7 linked regions of the Xenopus tropicalis genome follow. Each later gene encodes a partner of the first gene's protein in a complex. Links are inferred from orthologs where the notes say so. Each region holds a gene or a part of one and is shown in the gene's direction. Other genes may lie near its edges. The genes, in order: ccna2, rb1, rbl1, e2f1, samhd1, gmnc and cdc6.

Region 1 (3,538 bases):
GTCGTTTGACCTTGCTGCTCCAACAATCTTACAGTACCTCAATCAGTACTTCCAAATACAACCAGTCTCTCCAAAAGTGGAAAGCCTAAGCATGGTATGTATGCACCTATACAGATGTGACTATTCACTTCATACAATGGCTTTCTGACAGCTTAACATTTCCTATCCACCTCCTCACTTGATTCTGGTTGACAGTCCTGCACTGTACATTATTTTGCTCAGGTCCCTTTAAAGGAACAATTGCTAACATGAGAATTTTATATAGGCTTTCTCATGTAAATAAACTTTCTGTATTTTTGGGAATTGGCAATCTTCTCTTCCACCAGAAGCTGGTCAGTTTGGTTGTCTAATCAAAGGAGCATGCAAATTTATTTGACCTAACTGTCAAAGTATGTGCTTATTGCACACAGCTCCATGTAGAGACAAACTGCTTAGGGGGATGTAAGAGTAACTTGAGTATTAATATTCCTTTCCATGACATGAAGGTTCACATTCACCATAGTGCCCATTTTAACAAGCCATTCAGTTGTAGTTCACATTACATTTCAAGCTGAAGTTTTTACATCCCTTGACATTTAACAGCCAAGCTTATATTTACAATAATTTTCCTTTCGAAAAAGCTGATTTTACCATGGTGGGTTTAACAGAAAAGGTGTGAGCTAGTACATTTACTGCCACAGGTTTAAACATGACTTCTGTTTGCTGTGGGTTCAGCATTAATATGAGAAAAATGTAACCATGCAGCCTATGGGTAACTATGTGAATGACTGCGTATGTATGGCCTGCTTTTCTAGATGCATATTGGCGTCTCAGTCTTGTTTAAAGGGATGGTTCACCTTTAAGTTAACATATATAATGTCACAGAATGGCCATTTCTAAGCAACTTTAAAATTGGTCTTCAGTTTTTGGTCAAAAGCTTTTATAGCTTTTGCTCTGTAAGGCTACATTTTTATTTTTTTTTGCTATTCAGCCCCTCTACTATTCCTAAATCACTCTCAACCTGCTCCCTGGTTACTAAGGTAAATTGGACCCTAGCATCCAGAACTACTGAAAATCCAAACTGGAGAGCTGCCTTTCAATTAAAAAAAAAAAATTAGACAAATTGCAAATTTGCTCAGAATATTAATCTCTACATTATACTTGAAGTTCACTTAATGGTGAACAACACCTTTAAGTAGCCAGTGCTGTTGTATGGCCAGCTAAGTACTACTTTTTAGTTGGATGGCTGTTCTGATGCTCTGTCTTGAGTTTATTTAAAAAAAAAAAAAAAACTGTTCAGTCAGCCATGGCTGTAATGTGTTTATAGTAAATATCCCTTTGTCTTACAGTTCTTGGGAGAGCTCAGCTTGGTTGATGCTGATCCTTTCCTGCGGTATCTGCCATCTGTTGTTGCTGCAGCAGCATTTGTCATTGCCAACTACACAGTTAATGAGAGAACTTGGGTATGTAAAGCACTTTTTTCCCCAACATGTAAGATACTATGTAGCACAGTGCCATCACAACTTTTCATTCTGAGGTAGTTGATACCCCACAATACTTACTGCTACAACATTAAAGAAACTTTTTTTTAGAATTAATACATAACTTATACCATAAGTGCAATTTTAAAGCATTTTACCAACCTGGAATATACATCTGTAAATATTGCACTTCTACCTTGAGCCACCATTTTGTGATGCTCCCTCAGACCACCTGACCGGAACTGCAGCTATAACTGTAATAGGAGGAAGCGTGGGGGTAAAAAAAACATCCCTGTCTAATGGCTGCTGCAGCCTAGCAGTATGTAGGCCCTTGGTTTGTGAGCCAGGGGGCAGCCCTTAGTACTTAGAAACTAATTAGGATTATCCAGTGGTACTTAATACTAAAGTCTATTTTCAAGAATTTTTCTAGATTAAGCACGGCCTTACAAATTAGCTGTTTAATGTAACAAAATTTTATGGAGACCTGCAATGTATAAGGTTTTCCTTCCGTGTTACAAGGTGTTGCTGGAATATCAAGCTTGCTTCTTTACTAGCTAGGCTTAAAGTTGCTAATGTAGGTGCAATCAAACTGTATATAATATCTAAAACTTCTTTGCAGTCGGATTCTTTGGTGCAGTACACAGGGTACGCTCTTGAAACACTTAAACCCTGTATTTTGGACCTATACCAGACCTACCTCTCTGCTGCAAGTCACCAACAGCAAGCTGTGCGAGAGAAGTACAAAACTCAGAAGTAAGTAACTGGTTTTTTTTTTTTTTTTTGCCAAGTTTGTAACTTAAATTGTAGATAAATGTAAAACTTGGTGGTTTGCAGGCCTCAAGTTTAAATGTGTTTCTTTTTCCTTCCAGGAATCACTGTGTATCTCTTATTGATCCTCCAGAATCGTTGTCTATATTTTTATAAACTCAAGGGATGGACTTTGAAGATGTATATTGATAAAAGCACATGATGTACAGTTAACTTTTTTTATGATATAGACTTTGATTTTATATTGCAATCTTCAATGTGAGGATTGGAGCGACAGAATTATGAAGCAAAGTCACTTGTTTTTATTTTTACTTTATTTTATAAGGTTTTAAATTTTGTAAATTTTTATGTATGTTAAATCTTGTTAGATATATTGGCTCTTTAAAAAGCTGTTGTGCGCAGATTGAATTAACCAGGCAGTTAGCATATTTTACCTATTGATCATTGTTTGACAATAAATGTTAACTAAACAGCATCAACTGTGGATTGATTTTGTTAACACTGGAAAAAGTCAATGAACTTCCAAATGAACTGTCCCCCTGCAATGTTCACACCTCAGTTTCAGACTCTAACCCCCCCTGTATTCTCACCTGTAAGACCCCAGACTCTAGGCACTAGTTATGAGCTCTTCCGCTTGTGACTTAACACTATTGGCTTGTGAATTTATAGATGTGTGCCTGACACCCTGTCCCTTTTTTGTGATGTCATTGCAGGGCATGTCTATAAATGGAGGGGAGAAGCAGGGTTAAGGTTGGGACTGGGCGGGTTAGGGTCAGGTTGAGGGTTTTTTTTTCCCACCTCACCTGTGCGCACCTAATACTATAGGAGCAGTGCCAGCATATGATGTACTGTAGTACAAACTGGCCACGTTGGAGTGGTCATGGCCAGGTTTCCCCATCTCCTGCCTGTGTGTGCCATACTCTGCCTGCCCTATGCTGCCTGTGTGCTCTTCCCTGCCTGTGCCATACTCTGCTGGGGGGGGGGGGGGGGGGGTCTTGTGCTTTTATCTGCAGATTTGGTTGCCTCTCTGCCTACAATAGAACTCTTGTTGCAGCAAATCTTATTTCTCAAAGTATGGGAGTTTACCTGTTAACTTTATTTCTGTGCACAGAGACTCACCATAAAGGGGACCTGTCACCCAGATAAGGCATTTATAAAAATCCCATACCCGTTATAAAGGCACTTACAAAAATCCCAACTGTTAATCATATATTGCCTGCATTCTTCTGCTCAATCCATACTTGAGGCATCCGCCAACCTTACTGATGCTATTCTGGACACCACTCGGATGTTTGCTGCCGCAGTTATTA
Region 2 (4,317 bases), on another chromosome or scaffold:
TTCACAAAAAATTGGCTTTCAATTATGGGAAGATGTTCTGTGTGCACAGTTAGCTCCTTAGCAGCTAATTGTGCACACAGAACGTCTTCCCATAATAACTGTTATGATGGCATAACGTCATTTCTGCAATCAGCAGCGCCCGCCCGCCATGCCTTGCATTATCCCTTGGATCGCAATAAAAATCGCGATCTATTCATTGCTTTTGAGAAGGCGTTGGTGCGGGCCACAAAATATTGTACCGAGGGCCGCAAATGGCCCGCGGGCCGCGAGTTTGAGACCCCTGCACAACATACATGGCATTTCATCACTGCCAAAGCTATTTTAAAGCTATTGGCCATACAAGCCTGGCACTGCCAACACGAATAGGGATACTGTTCAAGTTTGGATCTAAATCTTTAACCAAGCCTATATCATGGCTTTTTATTTTGTTTATTAAAGAAACTAAAAACAGTCCTTAAACCTAAAGTTTAAACAAAAGACAAAAATGAAAACAATAAGGTTATAATAGCTGAGATGGACTTAACACTAGTGAAACAACTACACACTGGGCTTTATTCTTACAACAGAGAAGTACTTAATTATGACTATTCTCTGTGAAATAGGACAACGTATTTTTTTTTCATTACAATGTAAATTTATTAGGTGTTGAACCTGGTATATATTTGCTGACTCCAGTACCCAAAAATTGCTTCCGACTCCACAGCTCTGGTTTTTGTATGTAACCTTGTATGTTCATTGTATACTACCATTTAATGTACAGTGCCACTGTCTGTGACTTTATATATTATACATATTGATTGCTCAAGCACATGTGGCTTTCGCCTGAATTAATTTCTAGTATGATGACAGTTTTAGCCATTTTTTGTTTTACAACAAAAAGAGAATGTTCCTTTTTCTTCATGTTAACTTGATTTTTGTTTATTTTGGTGAAGCTTGTTTTGTTTTTTACTAACACTGCTGGATGGATACTAGATACACATTAAATTGCATTTAGACCTCAGAGTTTCAATTCTGCCTTCATTGACCACATACACTTGTCTTGTGCACGATACAGCAAATTAATTTTGGGAACCTTTTTGCAGACCCATGGTGATTGTTGTAAAGCAGCACCCACTCTTGTGACTAACTGAAGATATTTCTAGATAGGATTTGCTAATGATACACCCTCATCTAATGCTGCCTACAATAATGCAATACTTATTGTAAATCAAGTATATTTTCCCTTCATTGCCTATTTATAGATATATATATATATATATATATATATAAGTCCAAAAATTGGGTGCACACCAGGATATTTTTTAAAGTTAAAACGTTACTTTTATTTAAACATACTGTTAAAACAGGCCAACGTTTCGGTCTCCTCCTAAGACCATTATCAAGACCACATATATATAAATATATATATAGACAAACAAAAATATAAATATATATATATATATATATATATATATATATATATATATATATATATATATGGATATATAGTTTTGTTTTAGATTTTTAGATTTCATAACTGCATATTAATGTAGAGAGAGGTGGAAGAGATAGGAAAAGGTGGCAGTCCAGAAGCAGTTCTAAATTATATCCCTACTAATGAAGGTGTAATGTATCTTTGGATAACTAGTGCAATTGTTTCGTTATCCTATACATTTTTGTGCTGAGAATTAATTGATTCTTTTTTACTTTGTATTTACCTACATCCATTACTTGTGTTTTGCAGTTTCCTTATTTCACTTGGCGAAACATTTAGGGTATGTATGTTTTTTATACATAAGTACATCTAAATGATTGTGTTGCATTGTATGGTGTTCAGTCCATCCAGTGTCAGAATTTTGTCAGTACTGAAACAAATAAAATGATTCTGCTGCTTTCTCTAACCATTGGCAGGGATAGTGAGTTATATAATGGTATAATTACACAATTGCAGATGGTCAGGAGCAGAACATTCTGTGTGCAGCACAATTTGCCATTTGTGCTGGTGTCATTACTTGGGTGCCACAAGCACAGTGTCGGACTGGGATGCCAGGGGCCCACCAGAAAATCCTAGATTATGGGCCCACGCTCCAAACTATTTTTCAGTCACTTCTCACTCAACCGCTATATTTTCATAGTTTTTTTTTATCTTTACATACTATAATCTATTCTTAATATTTAGTCTCTTTGTTCCCATAAAGAAATAGGGAATTTCAATAAATTAGGCCCAATTGTTAGAATCAGGAGGGCCCACTGACACCTGGGCCTACTGGGAGTTTTCCTGGTATCCCTGTGGGCCAGTCTGACACTACACAAGCACACAACTGACAACTTTCCCCCCAATTTCCAGTGAAAAGAAACAGGAGAGAATCCTTGATCCCCCGCTGTTACAACTGGGACAGATCAGGAACAAAATCTTGTTTCTTGTCCTACCCAGGAAGAGTATGAAATGCTGTAGAACAGAGCTGTATAACTTGAGCCAACAGATTCGAGGGCCTCCAGACTTCCCAGTTGGTTTGGCTTCTAAACGTTTGGTACATTGGCCCACTATGTGAATAAAGTGAGAAACTGCAGAGTTGTGTAGGAGCCCATATTGCCTCTTGGTTTCACTCCTGTAATTAAGGATCTCTGTAACTTTATACGATTTCATTGTGTGGTTATTATGTCTAATGTTTTCTCCCATTCAGTCACCTGACAGGTTTCAGAAAATTAACCAAATGCTTAACAGCTGTGAGCGACCAATAAAAAGATGCGCTGATACTGGTGCTGCTCCAAAGCCCCTGAAGAAGCTTCGTTTTGATACAGATGGACAAGATGAAGCTGATGGAAGGTTAGTTGGTAGCTAGGGAGTGTCTGGGCAAAGTTATTCTCATTCTTTACGAAAGTTACAATTTGTAATTGTTTTGCGGTTTTCAGTGAATTTATTTTTAATGAGTTCAAATTTTTCTCTTTAGCAAACATATATCTGAAGAATCCAAATTTCACCAAAAGCTGGCAGAAATGAGTAAGTATTTTGTGAGACACGTGTGTGCTTGTTCAACCATGGGGTGGCCCTAAAATTATCTGTATTGGGCACATAATTGGGAAATAGATGGAAATATATGTAGTGATGTGTGCATTCGGCAAACAGTACCACACTCACAAGAGTATGTTGCCTTTTGTCATACAGGTATGGGATCTATTATCTGCAAACCCTTTATAAAGAAAGCCCTGAATACTTTTCCATAGAAACATATTTCAACAAAACTCTTTGGCCTTTTTTTTTTTTTTTTTTTTTAATTTTATTCGTTGAAATAATATTAGACTTGACACATGGTTTGCCATATTACAGATGCCCTACTTTTTAATGCAAGTGGAAGTACACTTTTTCTCATTATAGATGCCCAAGATCTGAGCTTTCAAGATGTATCATTTGTTACATATCACTACTATAGGAATTGCCATACACTCCTCAGCACTGTACAAGGCCATGGGCTGCTCAGGGGTCCAGTTGTAGGACTTTAGCATTATATGGCGTACATGCTGAGTGCTGGAGACAGCTCAAGCAGGATTTAGACTGAGCAGGTTTCTCTGGATGTTTCTATAACTCATATGGAATTCATGTATAACTCAACTAATGGTTTTTTTTTAGTCCACTAAAAAGTGTGGTAGACTTTGTGGTGGACAGAATCTTTAGTTTGAATGCAGGTCATGAGAGAGGTTTATGGATTTTAGTCCCGTAGTTTCTGGGAGTACGTTTTAAACTTCACTGATTCCGGAAGGGTTTTGGTTTAGATGGTACACTTTGTTACTATAGCCATATATCCCATAGTGTATCTCCACATGGCACTTACTGTAATATGGCAAAAAAAAGAAATACTTATTATATATTTATTTTCTGGACTTTGTTCTAATTACTCTTTCTCACAAGCTCATCTTCCCTCATGAAACTTTCACTTTCAGGGACTCAGTAGTGAGAACGATAGTGTTTTCAGGGTCTCACTATATCTGGAGCACATGTCCACAGGAACATTCTAAATGGGAACCAGCTGCCCCTCCAGTGGCACAGTCACTATAAATGGGACTAGCTTCTGGAAACAAAAATCATATGAAAAGGGTCTTTGAGGCCTATACATAAAATCTCCTGCTGCAAGTGCTGGAACACTAAGGATTTTAAAAAGGTGCTTTGTTACAGAGCAGTTCTATCCTCATTGCACTGTTCATAAGGGTCCATTTTCAGTACCCATATCAGGTCCCTGAGAGCTCACCTAGTTTCACTGTATTTATGCCACCAGCACTTAGTGTTATTGCTACAGAGGGCTCATTTACAAACATAGGTGCTGAATTGCACAAGTGCATTTG
Region 3 (3,165 bases), on another chromosome or scaffold:
TGTAAGAGAATGTTGTGGGTTTTCAGTCTCCTTTGGTCAATAAGATCAGGAACCAATAAAGTCTGTATTAGAATTAAGCCACAGCGCTGAAAACTGGCATTAAATAATAATCCAATCACTCCCTGTTGTTAATGTTTAAGGTGTGATCCTGCTGGTATTTCTGATTCTAATGCGGCTTTGTTTGCCTTTGTGTTGTGACTATTGTCCTGCTAAGTTTAGCATTGTGTAGAAAGCAGAATTGTTTGCTGTTTTTTGTGTGATTTTGGAATTATTCTCATTGCTTGTTAATGAAACTAACAATTGAATCTATTATATGATTTCTATGGGTTAGTTACTCTAGAGAGGAGGGAGCAGTCTTGAAATAAAAATGGGAGATGTATAAGGGCGAAAAAACATGGGGCGATTAGTTGCCGCAACTTTTTAAAAAGTCTGTTGCGGTGACTAATCGCAGTGACTTTTCTGCCATAGGTTATAATAGAAGTCGCTGCGACTAAACACCCGTGAGTTTTCACTACGCAGATTACTAATCGCCCCCTGTGTCTTCACCCAGATAGAGGACCTAGAAAAAAAGCAATAATAAAATTGTCTTGAGCTGTTTGGTTGCCAGGGTCAGTGACCTTGGCAACCAGCCATCCATCATCATAATGAAGTTACCTAAACTGATCTATCTTTAACATATTAAGTTATTGTGAAGGTGTCCTTTTCCTTTTTATAGCATGGGCCATACATTTGATGTGATTTTTTTCTTTTTAGATGGATGCTCCGCCTCTTTCGCCATTTCCCAGCATCAAGCAACAAGCTATTTCTCCCCGCCGAGTATCCCAGCAGCATTCTATCTATGTGTCTCCCCATAAGAACAGCGGCAGCCTGACTCCCCACACAGCCCTCCTGTACAAGTTTAATGGAAGTCCTTCAAAAGTAAGTTGTGCCCTTGCTGGGGACGTTTATATCCCGATTATAGTTATACAGTAGAATAAAGGGGAGCTTGATTGGTGGCATTGGTTGACATTAAAGGGACTCTGTACTTATTATATTCTGTTTATTGAAGAGCTTGCAGGACATAAACAGCATGCTGAAACAGGAGCAGAGGAGCCGGAAGCGGATCATTGCTATTGACAGCGACACGGAGTCCCCGGCAAAGCGGCTCTGCCAGGAAAATGATGATGCTCTGCTGAAACGCCTGCAGGATGTCGTGAGTGAGAGGGCCAACCATTAGCTGCAGTCTGGCCATTGGCATTCTGTGGTTCCGGCCCATTAAAAAGCTACATTTTAGGCAAGTCTCGGGTCAGTACCCTTCCAACTGGGCCCCCGAGTTCCATTAGGTGTTGGAGACTCTTCTTGCACGTATGATATTGTACACTGTTTGCTAGCTACTGTCTGCAATCTCAATCACTGCAGTTGGCCAAAAGCCTTAGCCACGTGGTCAGTCGTGATGGGACAACTGCCCTGCCGTTTCCATGGTTTTATCTATTTTTTTCTTAACATGATATTTTTAACCTATTGTGATAAAGGAAAGTCTATCGTTCCTCAGTTTTGCCTTTATATGAAACATATATGGCTTACTGAGTTCATCAGGGTTGAATGTTGTGAGCTGTAATAATACTGCCGGTGGAGGCGCCCCCTAGTGGACTGAATTCTATTTCATTACCTGCAGTAGCATTTTACTGATACAAAGCAAAGCTTCATGAGTACATTTTTTAACTATAGACTTTTAATTTTATGAACACTAGCTTTCAGCAGCGCAGCATACAGTTTTTATTGTTCCTTTTTAAGTGTTCTTTTTGCTCCAAAAGCATTAATGGAGATTCTTTTTATTGTAATGTATGAACTTACAGATTGAGTTCAATCAAGATCTGGCAACAAAATCTTGGATTTTCCAGCGTTGCGCTGTGTTTATACAGTCATTTTACGGACTCCAGGGAAAAGGAGTAGAAATATTTGGCAGTGCATTTTCTGTGCTGGGTTTTTCCTGCTCTATCTGCGTGCAGCCATTTTATCTTTTTATTCCTAGCGTAAAATGAAACCCTTTGATGTGAATCTTTGCTGTGCTTTTTTGAGCTGAATGAAATTGTGTAGCATCTACACCTTTTTATGGTTTGCTGGCACCTTTTTAAATCTCTGTACATAACGTTTTATTGTACATTACAATGTCACTTCCATTCAGATGAATCTTCTTGAAGCATCCTATTCACAATTCTGACTTTTACATTATATATGGTACACCAAATAAGAGAGGAGGAATGAAATCTATGCAGCCCCAGATCCTTGCAACAGACCAATGAAGCATCTGCCTGAAATGGAGCTGCAGGTGTACCACAATAGTGTAGGCTGAAGGTTATAGTATATAAATGTATATGTAATATGCCTATGTGTAAATATGTAAAATAAAAAGGTCCCTACTATTACTGGGTACTTGTACTGACTTCTTTTGGTGGGGCTGAAAGCCTAAACAGTTGGAATAACAAAGTGTGGAGGAGCTGTAACTACAATTCCTCATCTGCCTATTTGCCATACTCTGTTGCCCAGCTGATGAACCAATCAGTATCCATAATGGGGTGCAGGGGTCATGGACAGCCAATGTTAAACAGCCTGGGGACCCATTTTATGATCCCAACCTAAAGTTTAAGAATCCCTGGCCTGAGGGTGCACTCTCTATGGTGATTAGCAGCATCCAGCAAAATGAGAATTTCTACCGCAGTTTACAATGACTGCACACAAGGCTGCAGATGCGGACCCACCTTCCATCATTTTCTGAACAGCCCGCACCCGCAAACACAACTCCCGATCCTTCTAATGCTGGCCTGCTAGCTGCAATTAACGGGATCCACACTTTGGTCACCACGCAACTCAAAATGATCAAGGCAGACCTCTCCCTGCTGTGCCAGAACTTCCAAAACCTGCAGAGACCACACAACCTGTGCTTAGCTTTGGTGATCCGACTTGGAGGACGTGGTCCACCGAGTACCGGACAAACTGGCGCAACTTTGGCAACAGGTGCGGGCACTTAATAATAGAGCAGAGGGCTTAAGCAAAGTAATCATCTCAATTGCTCATGTAGATCAAACAGGGCTTGATACCTAGCTAAAGTATTGCTGTTAACTTGGGATGACTATACACTCACTTTCAAATTGAACATGTATGCAGTTCTAGAATCCTGGCCTCTTT
Region 4 (4,825 bases), on another chromosome or scaffold:
CAGTGTCTGTCATGAAATGCTTCGGGGACCACGGTGTCTGTCATGAAATGCTTCGGGGACCACGGTGTCTGTCATGAAATGCTTTGGAGACCACGGTGTCTGTGATTAAATGTTTGGGCGTCTGTGATATAATGCTTTGGGGACCATGGCGTCTGTGATGAAATGCTTGTTGGACCACGGTGTCTGTTATAAAATGCTTGGGGGACCACGGTGTCTGTCATGAAATGCTTGGGGGGGCCACGGTGTCTGTCATGAAATGCTTTGGGGACCAAAGCGTCTGTTATAAAATGCTTGGGGGACCACGATGTCTGTCATGAAATGCTTTGGGAACCACTGTGTCTCGCATGAAATGCTTTGGGAACCACTGTATCTCGCATGAAATGCTTTGGGGACCACGGTGTCTGTCATGAAATGCTTTGGGGACCAAAGCGTCTGTTATAAAATGCTTGGGGGACCATGATGTCTGTCATGAAATGCTTTGGGAACCACTGTGTCTCGCATGAAATGCTTTGGGGTCCACGGTGTCTGTCATGAAATGCTTTGGGGACCAAAGGGTCTGTCATGAAATGTTTGGAAGACCACCATGTCTGTCATAAAATGCTTGGGGGCCAGACTGTGGCATGAAATGTGGGCGCCGAAGTGTGTCTGTTATAACATCTGTCATAAAACGGTGGTGCAGCTAGTGCTTCCTCACTCCTGATGTATCCATTCCTACATGTATAAACCACAAAATGGACGTGGCAAAAAAAAAAATTCACTGCAGTGCCCGTCTCAGAGGTTGTTTCCTGCTTTATTTTCATATATGTTGGGAGGTATAAGGAAACAGCAGATAAGACAACGTTGTGGCCTCTGTCTCAGAAATGGCAGTCGGGCGCTGATGTACTATAAAGTACCCTGGCCCAATTTATGGTTTAAACCGTCCCGCTGACCCAGAGCAATTTTATTGAGTGTTTGGGGCGGTAGGGGTGATATTTGACACATGGCAGAACAGTTGAGTTCTTTTCCCTTAGTACCAGCATTTCCCTGCACAACTAAAACAAACATGAAAGGGTAGAGGTAGACTTCCTATTTCTATTTAACGATGTCTACGTCACGGAATAAGATATAAAAGAGGTTTTATGGAAACCTTCATTTATCACTTAGACGCGTTTCCCACCTGGCATAAAGCCAAGCCGCCTTTGTAAGGAATGTGCTATTTAGATTTTCTGACCTCCGCTCACTCACTAACAAACAACTCTTCCCATTCAGCCTCCCCTCTCTCTCTCTCTCTTTCAAAGCTCTCTAGGAAATGAGCCTATTTTTTCCTGTTACACTATCAGGCCTGCCTACCCCCTTGCGTACACTAACCAATCACCTGCGTTGTTTCTTTTTTTGTCCACTCTGATTGGTCGCGCCGCCGCTCTGTCACCTCTATTCTTTCCCGCCAGCGCCTTCCAAACACCGGCCAGCCAATAAGGCGCGCCGGGCGTTTCCGCTGTGGCCAATGGCGCGCCGCCGCTGACGTTGTGTATGGTTTCGCGGCAAAAAAGGAATTGGCGCGCAAATGGGCGAGCTGAGGGAGACCGGGGGATCAGCTGGGAGGCGAAAACAATAGCAAGTCTGGGAGGAACCGACCGCCGGCGGTGGTGGTACCGGGACCGTGAATGCCTACAGGAACCAATAACAATTTCTTTTATTGGAGTTCGTCGTGCCTCAGGAATAAGCCTTTTATAGGAGAGGACAACACACTGACATTATTCCCGCACCCCCCTCCCAATACATGAATCTTTGCACTAATATAAATATGTGCTTTGGGGTTTTAGCAGCTTTTCCTATAGACTTCTTATTTTAACCCTGTCCCTGCCTTGGTGTTTTTTTTTCTATTCTGCTTTGGACTGGGTCAAGCACTTTACCACCCTATTTCTATTAGACTTTGTATTTAATGTTTTCTGCTCTGTTTTTAGCCAGTTTAGGCTTTTTTTCTGCACTTAGATACATTTTTTGAGGGTTTGGGTGAAGCTATTCTTGAGTTATTACAGGGCAGTTCATGGGGTTATATAAATGCCTATTAAATGTAGTGCATTTTGTTGATTCAGTCGTTTTAGTTCCCCTTTAATTCAGTGCATTTTGTTATTTCAGTTGCTTTAGTTCCCCTTTAATTCAGTGCATATTGTTTTGAGGGCTTGCATTGTTTTGTAATTAGTAGTGTATTTTGTTCTGAGCCTTTGCTTTATAGAGTTTTTGTAATTAAGTGTTTTTTGTGCTAAGAACTTGTAGTTTCCCTTTAATTCAGTGCATTTTGTTGTTTTAGTTCCCCTTTAATTCAGTGCATTTTGTTGTTTTAGTTCCCCTTTAATTCAGTGCATTGTTTTGTTATTAGTAGTGTGTTTTGTTCTGAGCCTTTGCTTTATAGAGTTTTTGTAATTGAGTTTTTTGTTCTAAGACGTTGTAGTTGCCCTTTAACACAGTGAATTTTGCTAGAAGTCTCTCCCTTTTATACACTGAATTTTGGCCTTCGGGGCTGCATTCTAAGTCGCCGTCGGAGCTTACGTATTTCGACAAGAAGATCTCAAAAGACAAGACTTTTGCTTATCAGAGGCGCCCGACATTGTGATCCTTTTGTTGACAGGTGCAGCCTGTGTGAATGAGCAAGCAGAAAGTTAGCTGGTTTTAAAGATTTTAGCACTTTGCAAAACCATTTCCCCCCTTTTATATTACTGAGTTGTTATGGATACTTGGAAATGGCATTTATTTTGGGGCTGAATCTGGATGTTCCATGATGTTTGCTCAAAGGCTGTTTTCACCTGCACCCCCCTTTTTGTTGTCCCATGGTCCAGCCCAGGGGTTGCTGTTGGCTTAAAGCTCCATTGGAACACTTAGGCCTCTGTTGTATTATCAGCTGTTTTCTTCTGTTATGGGAACTCTTGAAGCAAAGATGAACACCACCATCTGATCATGTCCCAGGAGTTTGGGGTGTCTTATAGCTGCAGTGAAGGAGATTTTGGGGCTCTCTGGGAAGCTGGAACCTTCCAGGTGGCTGAACAGCAGATTGTTATTATATCCACCCCAGATGTCCCTGCTGAAGCTGCTGGAAACCCTGGTCTCAGTGAGGCAGAGTTAATGCTTTTTACCACCCCTCAGGGTCCTTCCACGTCATACACTGCACAGAGGCCTGATCTTGGACGCCCACCGGTAATTTTATTTATCATTTATTTATATATATATATATATATATATATATATATATATATATATATATATATATATATAGGACTTAGTGTGAAAAAATAAAGGAAATTTATTGAAGCATTAGTTATTTTTTTTGAATGACTGCACCAAGGCAGAATAAGACTATATATAACGTGAGTGCCTGCTGCTATTGGACTTGTGTGTGTGTGTGTGTATATATATATATATATAAGTATACAGGGAGGAGCACACCCTATACAAGTCCAAATGCCCCTGGTGCAGGTCAAAAAAACAAAAATATAATAGAAAGAGTGCCGCACACATAGGGACTTGATACAAAAGAAAAAGTGGTTTTATTGAAAAAATTCCAACATTTCGAGCACAATCTGTGCTCTTCCTCAGGGACAAAATATATATATAATATATAGGGAATGCGGGGAATAATCCTGCATGAAAATAATTTTATTTTTATATGGTTATTGTTCTCTAGAGCACGTACTTTAGTATTATGGAGGTAAACATTTAGGGCATTGTAAAGTATAGGCTGGTTAAGGTTTCTTGCCCTTTTGATCTGCCTCGGTGGCAGTCAAGTTGTAGCTGTAACTGTTTAAATGACCAGTCACTGTTCCTGAGTGCTCTTTATCTCTCAGCTGCAGAAATATGTAAGGGTGTCATCTGCAGCACTGCTGTAGCATTGGGTAACCTCACCAATAAGCACAAAAAATATGTATGTTATGTAGCAAATGAGGTTTGCAAGTATGCACTGAAATCGGTCTTGGCTGGGGTAAAAGTTGCTTTAGGCCTGAAAGAAAAAAATATGTAATTGCTCAGGGAAACAGCTACACATTTCTGCCAAGTGTAGGACTTCGTAACAGTTCAGCAGCATTTATTCATTTATTTGCTGAGCAAGTAAAAAAGAAATGCTTTATATGCACCTACCTATAGTAATTGTGCATTTGTTTTAGTTTATGCATTATTTTAAATATATTGAGTATAGGTATTGTGTATGTTAATAAAAACATGGTGTCAGTGGTTATTATGGAAGGGGTTCTTCATCTTAAGTTTAATGCAGATATTTATTAAGCTTTTTGTAAAATAACTTCAGTTTGGCATTTCAGCAGCCACACCTGGTTGTTAGGGTTAACCGCCCTAGCAACCAGGCAGTGCTTTGAATGAGTGACTGACATATGCATGGAAAGATGAGTACAGGTATGGGGCCCATTATCCAGAATGCTCGGGACCTGGGGTTTTCCGGATAAGTGGTCTTTTCCAATAGAATTGTTCTGCCCCCAATAAGGGGTAATTATATACCATATACCATTATTATACCATTAAATAAACTCAATAGGGCTGTTCTGCCCCAATAAGGGGTAATTATATCTTAGTTGGGATCAAGTACAGGTACTGTTTTATTATTACAGAGAAAAGGGAATCATTTAACCATTAAATAAACCCAATAGGGCTGTTCTGCCCCAATAAGGTGTAATTATATCTTAGTTGGGATCAAGTACAGGTACTGTTTTATTATTACAGAGAAAAGGGAATCGTTTAACCATTAAATAAACCCAATAGGGCTGTTCTGCCCCCAATAAGGGGTAATTATATCTTAGTTGGGATAATGGGTTTACCTCTAATCATAACAATATAATTAACCTCA
Region 5 (4,317 bases), on another chromosome or scaffold:
TACATCGCGTTTGTAACAAAGTTTTAAAGATTTATACATAGTTTAACAATTATAATTACTTTAAACTTTCTGCTCATACCTGTTTGTCCTTTGAGTCCTGTGGGAATTTTGCTTTTACCGTTGGTATGTGGCCAACAGTCTGTTTATACAGGTACTGTTTTATTATTACATAGAAAAAGGAAATCGCTTTTAAAAATGTTAATTATTTGGTTAAAATGGAGTCTATGGGAGATGGCCTTTCCATAATTCGGAACTTTCTGGATAATGGGTTTCCGGATAAGGGGTCCGATACCTGTGTATAATACTTATTATTCAGGCCAACACAAAAATTGTTTTGTATCCCTCAAGGTGAATCCCTGATCCTGCCTGGGTGGATTGATGCCCTTTTTAAAATGCATTTTAGTGAGATCATTGTGCTGAATAATGTTAAAATCTCTGGAGAGCGCTGTGACTCTCATTTCCCTATAACTGAGTGAGAAATGAATGATATATTCCTGCACTTTTCTTCCAGATAACATATACCATCACATCCTTTATTCTGATAATCCTGATCTAAAGGAAGCCAGAGAAATTTTGCGCAAAGTAGAACGGCGACAGCTGTACAAATTTGTAGGACAAACGCACCCTAGCATCAACTCCAGAATTGAACCGGTAAGGATTAACAGCTGGGAAATGCACGCTCTCTAGTACTGGGTTTCTTTGTATGGTTAAGGCAGTGTAAACTGTGCTGCTTGCTCAGTCATTACAGTCATGGGGTTGAACCGGTATTGCCACAACCTATAGCTAGAAGGGACAGCACTGTGTAAACGTCACTGTTTCTTGTGAAAGGAGGGGCCTTTTTACATTGCACACTTGGGGCCCTCTAGCTATTCTCAGGTGCCTGAAATTGGAAACATACAGTCAAATCAAGCAGAATGCTGTGGGGTAATAAAAGCATTTGGTTAAACCACTTGATTATGGTGATAACGACCAACCCAACAAGTCCCTAAAGGTCCCCACACAGCATAAGATCCGCTCGTTTGGCGATGTCACCAAGCGAGCGGATCTTCTCCCAATATCCCCCACCTACGGGTGGGCAATATCGGGAGAATCCAGGGTAATTCGATCATTTGGCCCTGGGTCCAAACGATCGAATTATAACGGTGGGTATAGGAAAAGTCGGTCCGGGGACCGCATCAACAAGCCGATGCGGTCCCCGATCCGACTAGATTTTCTAACCTGCCCGATCGAGATCTGCCCGATTTCAGGCCAGATATCGGTCGGGCAGGCTGTTGGGAGTGCACATACATGGGCCGATTAGCTGCCGAATCGGTCTAAGGGACCCATATCGGCAGCTACTATCAGCCTGTGTATGGGAACCTTTACGCCAATGCAGAACTGAGAGCAGCTGTAGTTGAGGACTATGTTGTATGTCACTGTTTCCTTGAGTCCATTATATGCAGCACTGACTATAACATTTACAATTACCCCTTCTACAAGTGAGTGCTTCTTTCCTTTCTTTTCATTAACTATACAAATACAGTATGTGCATTTCTCCTGCAGGATGAATATGATACATTACCAGCGGATCTGGCAAAATCAGTTCCACAAACATCAACAACAGATGTAGAACTTAACACAGAGGACTTTATAGTAGATGTAAGTAGCCCTTCCCATTAGACTGTATGCGGAATAAATTGATTGGGTGATGGAAAGGCTTGCCTTAGATATTGCTTGAAGCTGCTGTTGTAATGGGGATTAACATTAAAAGGGTTATCCTTATCGGGTGCAGCATGCCAAAATGACGCTAAGTGCAGTCTCTTACCCAATAAGAGTGCCTATTCTAGGTGCAAATCTCCATTACTGCTTTCTGCAAGTTCTTTTGTTCTGTGCGATTGGACATACTTACTGACATCAGTCTCCTGTACATTAACTGTAAGTTCTCTCTGCATCATATGTCAGTGCTATGTGAATAAACAGTAATTGTATTCCATAATATGCACCATTAAAAGGAGAAGGAAAGGCATTTTAGCATCTTACTGCAAATAGATTTGCCACATTAGTGCCACATAGAATGCTATATTTATTCTGCAGAAAGCTTTACCATACCTGAGTAAACAACCCTAGAAGCCCCCTCTGTTTGTTTAAGATAGCAGCTGCCGTTTTAGCTTGGTCTCCTCTGGCTTCCTGCTGCAGCTCTAGCTGTTGGTAGCTCAGATTACACATTCTTATGGGAGGGGGAGTGAGTTTTATGAATTCTTATTGCAGGAAAAGGTGATGTACTGTGTTAGCCAGTCAAAAAATGTTTACAGGGTAACCCTTTTGAAATAAAAAATAACAAAAGTGGTATAAAGGTGATACCTTTATTGGCTAACTAAGATAACCATAGCAAGCTTTCAGAACATTCTAGTTCCTTTTTCAAGCTGATGGGAGGGGGGAGCAGGAGAGGGGAGAGCTGAGCAGACTCTGCCCTGGGAATTAAGGATTTTTTCTGAGAGAGGAAGTCTGATACCGAAGAACACGTTTACAAAAAAGGAGACAAGAAATCTTTTGTTTCTTTTGATAGAGGACTCTGATAAAACTTACTTAGTTTTTACCTTTCCTTCTCCTTGAAATATGTACCTTGCGGGATGCCCCTTGTATTTCAGAGCATGTGGCAGTTTTAATTGTGATGTTTTCTGTAGGTAATTCATATGGATTATGGAATGAAAGAACAGAATCCAATAAACAACGTGCGCTTCTACTGCAAGTCGGATCCTCGCAAAGCAATAAAGATTAGAAGAGATCAGGTAAGTGAAATTCCAGTGGGTGAATCTTCTCTGCACTGAGCCATGTGGATACTTGGGAGCTTGTTCCCTCTGTGTGAACCCCACGAGGCAGGACTGAGATGGATTCATTTCAATATCAACATTGGAATCTTTTCAAAAACGCAAACGTTTTTTTTTTTTTTTTTATATTTAATTTGGAATTTCACATGGGACTAGCCATATTCTTCATTTCCCAGGGTGCCACAGCCATGTGACCTGTGCTCTGATAAACGTCAGTCATACTTTACTGCTGTGCTGCAAGTTGGAGTGATATCCCCCCCCCCTCCCCCAGCAGCCGATCAGCAGAACAGTGGGAAGGGAGCAAGATAGCAGCTCCCAGTAGGTATCAGAATAGCACTCAATAGTAAGAAATCCAAGTCTGGCTTGGGACTCCTCCAGTTACATGGGAGTAGGAGAAACAATAGGTTAGCTGAAAGCAGTTCTAATGTGTAGCGCTGGGTCCTTCTGAAAGCTCAGACTCAGGCACAATGCACTGAGATGGCGCCTACACACCAATATTACAGCTAAAAACACATTTATTGGTTCAAGAATAAAATGTTAAATGGCAGAGGGAATTATTTGCTATGTAAACAGTGTCATTTAAAAATAAAAAGTACCCCATAAAAATCATGACAGTATCCCTTTAAGTACAAACTTACCAATCTTATCTTTTTATTTCTATATCAGGTTTCCCAGCTCCTGCCGGAGAAATTTGCTGAGCAGATTATCCGTGTTTATTGCAAGAAAACGGACGAAAGAAGCTTGGAGGCGGCAAAAAGATATTTTGTTCAGTGGTGCATGAACAAGGATTTCTCTAAACCACAGGTTTGAATGTGCCTCACTATTTCCACCGTACTCTCTCCCAGCATTCACTGTGCAAGCAGAGCCTATAAACATAGATTCCATCAGTAGCTTCAGCTTTGCTGTTATACTTGTCAGTTGGCGCAAATAAATAATAGCCACAGGGTTGTACTCTCATGTGCAAAGAAGAGATGCAGGAAGGTATCACTATTTTTTCTACATGGAACTATGTGGGACCCTTAATAAGTAGAATGAGCCATAGTTGTAAAAAGTTAAAGTTGTATTAGGGCATAATAAATAGTCTAACGTGTTTTGTACCTGGGACAGAAAATAGGCCCCGGCAGTACACAGAGGCCCAATAAATAGTGACTGTCTATGGCATCTTACAGCAGCCCCTCTGGCATTTGCCTGAACCCACAGATTGCCAGTCTGGGCCTGGGTCCTGGCATTCCAAGTACCCAGAGGCCCAAACAGCCCCCTCCAGCCCAATAAATAGTGACTGTCTATGGCATCTTACAGCAGCCCCTCTGGCATTTGCCTGAACCCACAGATTGCCAGTCTGGGCCTGGGTCCTGGCATTCCAAGTACACAGAGGCCCAAACAGCCCCCTCCAGCCCAATAAATAGTGACTGTCTATGGCATCTTACAGCAGCCCCTCTGGCATTTGCCTGAACCCACAGATTGCCAGTCTGGGCCTGGGTCCTGGCATTCCAAGTACACAGAGGCCCAA
Region 6 (4,786 bases), on another chromosome or scaffold:
AGAAGCTTCTTATTATTATATTAGGCTGTAAATTCCTGTCTGGACACGGCTCCCAATTACTCAAACAAATCTTCCATCTCCTCCAATCTATAACACTAAAGTGGCACAAACCAATCGATTTTTTTTTTCATATAAAATCAGGTAGCTTTATTATTGTGAAATAGGTAAGTCAAGCAAATATCAATTAAGCAGAATTAAAACAGAATTTAGTTTATTTAAACCCATGGTCCCAAATGCTTATTTAAATAACAATATCTAGTGATCGGCAAAGTTGTCTTTATTCAGCTCATGTATAGTTGTACTTGTGTTTAGCAAACAGTGACTACTGGAGCCTCGCACAATCCTCTGGCTTTATACCCCACTGATATCCCACTGAGCCCCCTCACTTTGCTCTTCTTACCTCCTGCCTTACAAGCTCATTAGAAAAATGACTCAATATCCAAATCAGCTCCCTAACCATATTCATAAGTGCTGATATTGCATTGCAATGTGATGTTTTTTTCAATCAATCACCATATGTGTATATTAAGAAAAAGGTAGAATACATCAACTTTTTAAATCCACTCCATGGGCTTGAAAGTATTTTCATCTAAAGTATTTTCTAAAATAAACTTGATTGTCTGACCCAATACACATGGGACTTGGTCCTTTGGTCTCCTAGGCAGAGGGAACTGGTGACAAGTAGAATGGGACCCCAATTAAAAAAAATAAAAGGCCAAAACAAATGCAACTGCATCTCTGATCCTTCCCAGCTACAGCACATTTGACATCCCTGTCATCACACTTTTACATCTCTGGGGTCCCCCTCTGCAATATGGCCCCTGACTGCAATACCCCCCCCCATATACCACCCTGATGGCAGCCCTGCTTGTGGCCCCTCGTACCCCAAGCCCCCCTGCTGTTATGGGGTTTACCTCCTCTATAGTTACATGATTGATTGTGGGGCTGTCTTCAAAAGAGAATGAAGTGCAATTACAAGTTCTTGAAGGGGGGACCCATTCATTTAGACTGCTTGGGCACCCAAGTGAACTTCCATAAGGCGCTGCTGGAGCCACAATAAACACTTTCTTATTTAACGATTGAAACTATTATAAATGCACAGCTGTATTTGAACTTATCCCAGTTTAGCACCTATGCTTTCCAGTCTCCAATCACGCACAGACCAACTCTTACCCCTGCACTCAAATTTTTGGCTTTTATTTATTGCATCCATATAGAGAATGTGGAACAGGTATTGCAGTATTATTACAGTGTATTACAGTATTATAACAGTGTATTTCAGTAGTATAAAAGTGTAATACAGTATTATAACAGTGTATGTCTGTATTATAACAGTATATTATAGTGTTATAACAGTGACATTGTAAGAATATTCCTAACACTGCTGGTAAACTCAAACTCTAGCTGCACACACTGCCTCCCACCTGTGCTACAATTCCCTGCTTTTGGTGTGGGGAGGGCAGAGGGAGTTTAAAATTGCTGTATTACAGACTCCATAATAAGTTTTCAACTGTTTATGTTGATCAAGATTTTTTTTTGCATGTGATAATTGACATAGATAAGAGCCTGTCCCACCCCATTGAACACTTTAGTTTTAATACAGAATAAACAAATGTGGGGTTGGGTGAGCAGAGCTAGATAAAAGCAGACTTTATTCTGTATGGTAATTTATTGGGAATGAATAGCTTTGATTTGGGCAGGCTGCTACCATCACCTATTTGACAGCTTGGCACCAAATCAGATTCGTGGTTTCCAGAGTCCTGGGGGAGTGGCCCAGCTCCCATAGATTAGGGCTGCTCTGGCTCAGCCCTCCCTCACTTCCCTTTAAATACTGCTCACAGAGGCTTCAATGAAAAGGTGCCTGCCAGGAACACATTCAAGCAACAAAATGGTAAGTGGCTCGTGTGCTCGTCCCTGTATTCAGGAATGGCTCTAGGCTGCCTTTTGCTTTCCAGAAGTGTGCTTCTTTATTCCCTGAGGTGTTGGATTTTGTATATTTAAAACATCCCCTACACAGTCTGTATTTCCCCACTGCTTGTATGAAGTACTTTGGCTCCTGTAGGATTTAATATTGGCTTGCACAGCAGCTGCAATGAAACTAAATGTAACTTTTGGTTTTTAAAGACACATTGCTGGACTTTGGGTGACTGCAAGCCCCTTTTGCTAATTTCCAAAACCTTTAGGTTGTGTTACCTGCTGGTTCATATGTACCTGTCTGCACTACCACCTGGAAAGTGGGGACTTGCAGTTGTCTTTCCTGGTCCTGTCCTGTGCTACAAAGCTGCTATTTCCAAGCTCTGCATAGTGTGAGAGTTATACCTGCACATAGGCTGAAAGGAGATTTAATTCTGGCACTTGGCATTGGCAGCTAGATAGGTCAGTGGCTGCTGCTTGTACTTCTGCCTGCACTTGGCGCGCTCCTGCCTCCTTCAAGTTGTAATAATGAATGGGTCAGTGTAGAAGAGAGGGGCAGAATGCTGAGTGTCTGCTGGAAATCTTGGCATCTAGAGGAATCTCAGTAGTTGGGTGCAAGTCCATTGCCAGCTGATTTGGATTCCCATTCACAATGTTGAACAGGACAATGCTCAGTGAATAGTGGGAGTCGAACAAGAGAGAATGGAGCGCTACCTCCCCGAAGTCTCTTTGCTTTTGCTCAGACACACAAGGATCTATGTGACCATATCTAACAAGTGCTCCGTTTATGTTGATTTTTCAGAACACCATTCTGACTTGCCAAGACCAGTACTTTGCAGGGGGTCAGGGTTATGACTGCCCATACTTTTCCTCAACGTCAGCCTCCACTGTTGATGTTTCCAAGGAGACTTGGGTCTCTCTCTGGGCTTCTGGTCTCCTGGACAACAGATCAAGCAGCCATGCCCCACACACTCAAGGTAAGTCACCTCTCCCCCAAGTAAAAATTAATTCCAGATAAGAAAATTAGATAAGGGGTGGCAGATGATGGAATAGTTTTGCTCTCTGTTAATTTTTCACATTAAGACTTTTTTATACTGTACTTTCATTGTTTTTTTATAATTGTGTTTACCTTTATTTAATATACTGACATGAAATATCAGATTAATTTAGAGTAAATGAACTGTTTATTTAAGCCTTGCCCACACTGTTCTTTCACTGTATGTTGTTCTACTTTGGGTTTGCTTAAGTCATTAAACCTGGACCTGTCTCTCCTTATAGAGCAAATTTATAACATGGGGAACTCACTCCAAGAAGATTATCTGTTTGGTGACCAACTATCTACCCAGATATTCGCCAATAAGCAGGTAAATATGTTTAAATATTAAAAACCAGAAAACTGTACATAGGAGGGGTAATCTAGGGGTGTCCAAAACATAACCCAGCCAGCATCCTTCACTCTCAATCCCAATTACTTTGAACACTGACTCTGTAATGATCTTGGGGGGGGGCATTCTAATTATGTATAGTACTAAAGGCTCAGATGAGGTATACAGAGATCACAGTGGGACGTTCATAAGTTTATCCAACGTATTTCCAGCCACACTAAGTTCATTTCTTTCCCCACAGCTCCAGGATACCCTACTGCAAAGGGAAGAGGAGCTGGCCAGACTTCATGAAGAGAATAACAAACTGAAGGAATACCTGAACTCTGCCTTTGTAAAAGCCTTAGAGGAAAAGACCAAGGTGTGTACTACAAGCCTGATCAGCTTCCCCATCTGAGATAGTATAAGCACTAATCTTTCATTGAGTGAAAGGGGAACATTATCTGCAATGGGTTTATCTACAGCAAACACAGCAATTAATTATCTAGTAGGTAAATTAGCAGTACTAATCTATCCCACTATGATAGCGATCTGCCCAGATAAGAAGGGCTTCTAGATATATCACACGTGCTGGAGAGGCTTCCCTGTATGCTGAATTAATTGCTGCTAAACTGTTCCCTTTTAGGAGCAAGTGCTTTAATCAGGGCGGTGCAAAGTGGAAAGTAGCCCAGGGTGAGCACTCTGACTCTCACTCACTTTAGCAATTCAATAGGCTCTATTGTTTGCTGCATTGTGTGCTTGCAAATTGCACCTGTACCTGGCCTAGATCCCCTGCAGCGCTAAACACTCGTCAGCACTCCAGCAAAAGAAGTTTCATTGTCAGAGTGCTGGAATGCCAAACACTGTAATCCATTCCTGCTACAGGTTCTTACTGCAGAAATCAATGGCTGAAAGGGCAGGCAAAAGATTTGTGCTGGTTCTATTGTAAGAGGCATCATTTGAAGCAGATGGGATTTTGTACTTAAGAGGCAGTTCACCTTTCAAACATTTTTTTCTTCAGTTCAGACAGTCAAGAAGGGATCATTCTTTTGTTTAGTTGCTTCCTATGTATTATTTGTTGCTGTTTTAAGTATTATTATCGTCCCTATGCCGTTACCCCGGTAGCTGATCAGTAAACCAGCCTGCCCACTGTCTGAACTTTTACAATTTGCTCCATTAGTTCAAACATTTCTCAGCAGCATCAGAGATATGCCAGCAACTAATCAACTGACTTCAGTAACATTCAGGGCTACTCTTGGAAAACAGGAAAAGGTGAAAAATCAACCTTTTAAGATTTTTAAACAAAAGTGGTCACAAATAATCCATGAAAATCATCATCATGAAAAAAGTCATTTAGTAGAACTTGTTCACCTACAACTCCCAGCATTCTCCCACAGCCTTAGGATGTCACTGGCAGTTGTAGTTGGAGGTTCCCAGAATGATTATATTTGGATTGAACCAATGGGAGTGGAAGCAGATCTAGTAATATATCGGAATGAAGCTGATTCTAA
Region 7 (4,293 bases), on another chromosome or scaffold:
CGATTTGTTTTTCTTCGCTCTGATTAAACTTGTTAACCTGCATCCTGCGTGCTTGTCTCGTTCATTAGGATAACTGCTCCCTGTTGATGATTTAATCTCAAGCTTCCCTGTAGCTTGTTAGCGTTGATGGGAAGGTTGTGCTCATTAGTGCAGTTTCTGGGGGGGAAGATGAAGACGTAGGGTGTTGTGCAGATATTGGCAATAAGGCGATAATAACAGTGATGTCCTGTCGGCTGCATTTTGTTTTATGCTTGAATGATACCGAGAGAAGCTGTTGTATGTAGCATCAGGGTACTAACAGAGTAACCAGTCAGATTGTTGTGCAGCCAAAAAGCCCTTTTATTCTAAATTACAGTATTCCCATGCTACTGCTGCTGCTGTGTAATCCTCATCATAAATCCTACAAAAGGGGGAGGGCTAATACTCGGAGGGGCAATATGCACTTAGACTACGCACAAGCTAAGTATATAGGTCTTGCACTGAAAATGTGTGTTAATTAAAAAAATCTATAATATTCATTAAAGTCAACATTTAATTCTGGTTTTACCTATACTCCCTAAAGGCTGTAGCAAAAGAATATTGCTTTATTGTGACCCTTTGGCAAATCCATTGAGAAAAGCTGTTTGGATAGTCAAGGTTTATGCATTTTATTTTTTTTCTATTTACACCAAGTTTCTGTGAAGGCTTTTTTGTGGCCCAGCTTGCAGTTTCAGCTTTGCCAGAGTTGCCATTGTTTTACTGACAGAACTTCAATGTTTAGTTTGTCTGCTGGTGTTCGCATTAACCCTATGGATTGTGAACTAAATCTTACTACTTATAATTCTTGTAGCAATGCCAAGCACCAGGTCTCAGTCTCAAAGCGCCATTCAGTTTCCCAAGAAAAAAAATGCTCGAACGCACACCAAAGAGGCCTCCCGTGAAAGGACCAAATTGGAAAACGGCTCCTCTGTCGCGCTGCCACTCTCTCCACTTCCCAAAGAGCTTCCCCTGAGTCCAAGGAAACGACTTGGTAAGGAAAAGGCAGCCTTGGGATTTTCCTATATTGATCTAAAATAGTCCCTTATCGATGACCGTGTTTAATCTATTTTTTTTCCTTTACCCAGGTGATGACAATCTTTGCAATGTTCCCCAGACATTAAGCTGCTCACCACCCAAGCAGTCTCGCAAAGAGAATGGCCCGCCAAGCACCCCTAAGGGACGCCGGTTACTTTTTGACGAGAACCAGTCGGCAACAACACCTGTATCTCCTCTCAAGAGGGTGCAGGATCCTTATTTGCTGTCCCCTTTGAGAAGGGGGCAAGAGACACCATCCAGCTCTCGCAACAACGAGAGGAAGAGTGTGGGTGCCCGGCTATTTAAACAGGAGGGTAAGTGGGCACTTGAATAAGTAATCTTTCACTTAATTAGCATTAACTTTGTCAACAGGTAAACTTTAATAGGTCTCCACTTTTTTTTATTCTGGTTTAAGATTCTATATTCTAAGAATAAATTGGGCCTCCTGAAATGTTATAACTATTTATTTATACATTTTTTTTATGTTGAATTTTAATAATCTCCAGGTCATCAACTACAAGCGTGTCATAAAAATGGTTCTGAAAACAGTATATTTGACAGTTTGCCTTTTCCTGCTTAGGTTCTTGCTATCAGAAGGCTAAGCATGCTTTGAATACAGCTATACCAGAGCGTCTATTGGCCCGTGACAGTGAGACTGCGACTATCAAGGCCTTCCTGACAAGTCATGTCTCTGGTGGGAAGCCAGGAAGCCTTTACATATCTGGTGCTCCAGGAACTGGCAAAACGGCTTGCTTGAATAAGCTGCTGCAGGAGAGCAAGGTTGGTTCCGCTTCAGTGTCATATCTTAATTTAAGTTATATATGCTGTTTACAGGAATGGGTCCATATCACTCTAAAAATCATACAGCCACTACTTAATCATTGTTTGCCTGCACCCAAGCCAGACATCACTGCTGTAGCCAAGACCCAATAGGCTAGGGGCACTGGATACATCAGTTCCCCAGTCTCTCACCAAGGCTAATGCTTCTGCAGCAACTATGGCTGAAGTGGAGTGACGGTTAAATAAAGGGGCAGCTGGCGGAGCTTGAAGCTTAGCCTATTAGTGTCCATAAGTGTTCTAACGTGATTAAATGTGTCAATATTACTTGGTTTGGGTAAAAAGAAAGCAGGATTTAAAATGATATAAACTGTTTTGTGACTTTCCATTATTCATAGTTAATCTCATTCTTTCTGCACAGGATGACCTCAAGCAATGCAAGACGGTTTACATCAACTGCATGTCATTGCGCAGCTCCCAGGCGGTGTTTCCGGCCATAGCTGAAGAAATCTCTGGTGGAAAATCTTCAATTGCTGCAAAAGATATTGTTAGGAGTTTGGAGAAGACGGTGACTTCAAAGGGCCCAATCATGTACGTACTGACAATATTTTGGTCTCTCTTAGCTTTTACTGTGGGTAACATGCATTCTCTTGAACTGTGTTCCTACAAGTTCTTATTTTGCTCATCAATATAACATTTGCTTCCTTTCTGGGCAGCCTGCTGGTGCTGGATGAGATGGATCAGCTCGATAGTCGAGGACAGGATGTCTTATACACAGTGTTTGAGTGGCCCTGGCTTCCAAATTCTAGGGTGGTTCTTATTGGTAAGCAACGGAATCTTTACAACATTTAATCAATCTAAATGTTATATATGACCTGAAGAATATCGAGCATTTAATTCTTTGCTCTGAAAATGTTTTACTTATAAGATGCGTAACTAAAGGAGCAGTAGTAGTGCCCAGACTAAATATATTTCCCACTGATGTATTACTGTAAAACAGACTGCTCTGTGCATATGATCTATGCCTTAATGATTCTTAGGAAGCTTAATGGTCCTCATTCCATCTTGACACATCTAATGTATAATTTTTTTTTTTTTCCCCCCCTCTCAGGCATTGCTAACGCGTTAGATTTGACAGACCGTATTCTGCCTAGGCTACAAGCTCGACCTCAGTGCAAGCCACAGCTGCTTAACTTCTCTCCGTATACAAAGGATCAGATTGCTACCATTCTGCAGGAGAGACTAAATCAGGTAATTAAACCTTGATGTACAAGTGTTCTTGTGTATGCTCAATATAAATTTACTGCATTTTTAAATTGATTAGCACAGCACCTGATATCTGCTATACTTAAGGCAGTTACCCTCTAAATTATGTTGATTACAGATGCAAAAATGCATGTGTACACAATACAAATAGATGTTTTCATCCCCATTTAGTTGCTCTCAATACAATTATCTCAAGCAATTATTTCATATTAAATTGCTGACAAAAATAGAAACTAACCATTAAAGCCTGTGCAAGTTTACCAAGTGAGGGTACCTTTGTGTTACCTGTATGCAAGATATGCGCATTGACTATTTCAGCCAGAGGTCAAAAGAGCTTTGAAAATGAATGCCAAGGGACTTGTGCTACAAGTGACATAAAAACTGTTGTATTGTCATGCTGTATCTTGATGTTCAAGGAGCTTATTTTGTTTCCGGTACAGGTTTCAGGTGACCAGGTTCTGGATAATGCTGCTATTCAGTTTTGTGCCAGGAAAATTTCAGCAGTCTCTGGAGATGCTCGAAAGGCACTAGACATCTGCAGGTACTTATTTATATTCGGATTAAGGTTGAAAGGAATTGCAGCAGCTGGGAAAAATTCATTTACTTGATATTTTCTTTTATATAATAACTAGATAGGTTAGCAGCTACAGTAAACCTGTGTGGGTTTGTTTATGCCAAAACACTATACTTTGCAGTACCATATATTAAGGAATACACAGTAGTGGCTGCATCTTCAGACTTAGGTCTGCTGGAAGCTGCATGCAGTGGGTGGTGCATCGCTTGTATAATCAGTTCCTAGCATGCTCTGGGGAAATGCTGTTGGAAAGCTGCTCTGTTTTGCTGTTTATGCATGTCTTTCCAGGCCATAATCCTTAAATTTTTTTGCTTGTAGGAGAGCTGTTGAAATTGTTGAAGCGGATGTAAGGGGCCAGACTGTCCTCAAGCCGCTAACTGAAAGTAAGTGAATGCTTGTCTCCACTTTGTTTCCCTTTGTGCTTCTTGTTTCCTCCATACCCCATAAAGGAGCTCATTCACATACTGGGAGGATGTTTTAGGTTGCCCCTACCTGTCACAGCTAAAAAAAAATAGACTATTTTACTGATAATTGTGTGTTTTAGCAGAGGCAATGCTCAGTATTGTATATGGCAGGGTATTTTCTGGCATTTAGTAGCCATATTGAGTATCTGCTACTAAGTA

The links.
Region 2: the proteins of ccna2 (region 1) and rb1 are in contact, whole or in part, in a crystal structure (PDB 1H25), measured with the Homo sapiens proteins. The link is inferred for Xenopus tropicalis from reciprocal best matches to the Homo sapiens genes CCNA2 and RB1. Residues at the interface, in NP_001228.2 of Homo sapiens: Met210, Ile213, Leu214, Trp217, Glu220, Glu224, Arg250, Leu253, Gln254, Tyr280, Ile281, Thr282, Asp283, Thr285; in NP_000312.2 of Homo sapiens: Pro869, Lys870, Pro871, Leu872, Lys873, Lys874, Leu875, Phe877, Asp878.
Region 3: the proteins of ccna2 (region 1) and rbl1 are in contact, whole or in part, in a crystal structure (PDB 1H28), measured with the Homo sapiens proteins. The link is inferred for Xenopus tropicalis from reciprocal best matches to the Homo sapiens genes CCNA2 and RBL1. Residues at the interface, in NP_001228.2 of Homo sapiens: Met210, Ile213, Leu214, Asp216, Trp217, Glu220, Glu224, Arg250, Gly251, Lys252, Leu253, Gln254, Tyr280, Ile281, Thr282, Asp283, Thr285, Tyr286; in NP_002886.2 of Homo sapiens: Gly654, Ser655, Ala656, Lys657, Arg658, Arg659, Leu660, Phe661, Gly662, Glu663.
Region 4: the proteins of ccna2 (region 1) and e2f1 are in contact, whole or in part, in a crystal structure (PDB 1H24), measured with the Homo sapiens proteins. The link is inferred for Xenopus tropicalis from reciprocal best matches to the Homo sapiens genes CCNA2 and E2F1. Residues at the interface, in NP_001228.2 of Homo sapiens: Met210, Ile213, Leu214, Trp217, Glu220, Val221, Glu224, Arg250, Gln254, Tyr280, Ile281, Thr282, Asp283, Thr285; in NP_005216.1 of Homo sapiens: Val88, Lys89, Arg90, Arg91, Leu92, Asp93, Leu94, Glu95.
Region 5: the proteins of ccna2 (region 1) and samhd1 are in contact, whole or in part, in a cryo-EM structure (PDB 9HIW), measured with the Homo sapiens proteins. The link is inferred for Xenopus tropicalis from reciprocal best matches to the Homo sapiens genes CCNA2 and SAMHD1. Residues at the interface, in NP_001228.2 of Homo sapiens: Met210, Ile213, Leu214, Trp217, Glu220, Val221, Glu224, Arg250, Leu253, Gln254, Tyr280, Ile281, Thr282, Asp283, Asp284, Thr285; in NP_056289.2 of Homo sapiens: Lys615, Ser616, Arg617, Val618, Gln619, Leu620, Phe621, Lys622.
Region 6: the proteins of ccna2 (region 1) and gmnc are in contact, whole or in part, in a cryo-EM structure (PDB 9HIU), measured with the Homo sapiens proteins. The link is inferred for Xenopus tropicalis from reciprocal best matches to the Homo sapiens genes CCNA2 and GMNC. Residues at the interface, in NP_001228.2 of Homo sapiens: Met210, Ile213, Leu214, Asp216, Trp217, Glu220, Val221, Glu224, Arg250, Leu253, Gln254, Tyr280, Ile281, Thr282, Asp283, Thr285; in NP_001140158.1 of Homo sapiens: Asn165, Ala166, Lys167, Arg168, Asn169, Leu170, Ser171, Glu173, Phe174, Ala175.
Region 7: the proteins of ccna2 (region 1) and cdc6 are in contact, whole or in part, in a crystal structure (PDB 2CCH), measured with the Homo sapiens proteins. The link is inferred for Xenopus tropicalis from reciprocal best matches to the Homo sapiens genes CCNA2 and CDC6. Residues at the interface, in NP_001228.2 of Homo sapiens: Met210, Ile213, Leu214, Trp217, Glu220, Val221, Glu224, Tyr225, Arg250, Leu253, Gln254, Glu277, Tyr280, Ile281, Thr282, Asp283, Thr285; in NP_001245.1 of Homo sapiens: His89, Thr90, Leu91, Lys92, Gly93, Arg94, Arg95, Leu96, Val97, Phe98, Asp99, Asn100.

What each region holds. Positions count from the first base shown.
Region 1 is NC_030677.2:66,840,581-66,844,118, forward strand, and holds the end of ccna2 (cyclin-A2), read left to right. Parts: coding exon 1-94; intron 95-1,328; coding exon 1,329-1,442; intron 1,443-2,079; coding exon 2,080-2,213; intron 2,214-2,329; coding exon 2,330-2,384; 3' UTR 2,385-2,703; downstream 2,704-3,538. UniProt on the Homo sapiens protein: Cyclin which controls both the G1/S and the G2/M transition phases of the cell cycle. Functions through the formation of specific serine/threonine protein kinase holoenzyme complexes with the cyclin-dependent protein kinases CDK1 or CDK2.
Region 2 is NC_030678.2:135,015,839-135,020,155, forward strand, and holds part of rb1 (retinoblastoma-associated protein), read left to right. Parts: intron 1-1,723; coding exon 1,724-1,754; intron 1,755-2,663; coding exon 2,664-2,806; intron 2,807-2,930; coding exon 2,931-2,980; intron 2,981-4,317. UniProt on the Homo sapiens protein: Tumor suppressor that is a key regulator of the G1/S transition of the cell cycle. The hypophosphorylated form binds transcription regulators of the E2F family, preventing transcription of E2F-responsive genes.
Region 3 is NC_030686.2:42,375,183-42,378,347, forward strand, and holds the end of rbl1 (retinoblastoma-like protein 1), read left to right. Parts: intron 1-753; coding exon 754-918; intron 919-1,048; coding exon 1,049-1,216; 3' UTR 1,217-2,405; downstream 2,406-3,165. UniProt on the Homo sapiens protein: Key regulator of entry into cell division. Directly involved in heterochromatin formation by maintaining overall chromatin structure and, in particular, that of constitutive heterochromatin by stabilizing histone methylation.
Region 4 is NC_030686.2:41,690,013-41,694,837, forward strand, and holds the start of e2f1 (transcription factor E2F1), read left to right. Parts: upstream 1-1,460; 5' UTR 1,461-2,934; coding exon 2,935-3,171; intron 3,172-4,825. UniProt on the Homo sapiens protein: Transcription activator that binds DNA cooperatively with DP proteins through the E2 recognition site, 5'-TTTC[CG]CGC-3' found in the promoter region of a number of genes whose products are involved in cell cycle regulation or in DNA replication.
Region 5 is NC_030686.2:42,477,449-42,481,765, forward strand, and holds part of samhd1 (deoxynucleoside triphosphate triphosphohydrolase SAMHD1), read left to right. Parts: intron 1-511; coding exon 512-651; intron 652-1,542; coding exon 1,543-1,638; intron 1,639-2,663; coding exon 2,664-2,768; intron 2,769-3,473; coding exon 3,474-3,611; intron 3,612-4,317.
Region 6 is NC_030681.2:104,601,872-104,606,657, reverse strand, and holds the start of gmnc (geminin coiled-coil domain-containing protein 1), read left to right. Parts: upstream 1-1,368; 5' UTR 1,369-1,849; coding exon 1,850-1,891; intron 1,892-2,716; coding exon 2,717-2,891; intron 2,892-3,192; coding exon 3,193-3,278; intron 3,279-3,540; coding exon 3,541-3,657; intron 3,658-4,786. UniProt on the Homo sapiens protein: Regulator of DNA replication. Promotes initiation of chromosomal DNA replication by mediating TOPBP1- and CDK2-dependent recruitment of CDC45L onto replication origins.
Region 7 is NC_030686.2:8,864,620-8,868,912, reverse strand, and holds part of cdc6 (cell division control protein 6 homolog), read left to right. Parts: intron 1-829; 5' UTR 830-831; coding exon 832-1,009; intron 1,010-1,103; coding exon 1,104-1,367; intron 1,368-1,633; coding exon 1,634-1,833; intron 1,834-2,251; coding exon 2,252-2,421; intron 2,422-2,546; coding exon 2,547-2,653; intron 2,654-2,941; coding exon 2,942-3,081; intron 3,082-3,536; coding exon 3,537-3,637; intron 3,638-3,988; coding exon 3,989-4,053; intron 4,054-4,293. UniProt on the Homo sapiens protein: Involved in the initiation of DNA replication. Also participates in checkpoint controls that ensure DNA replication is completed before mitosis is initiated.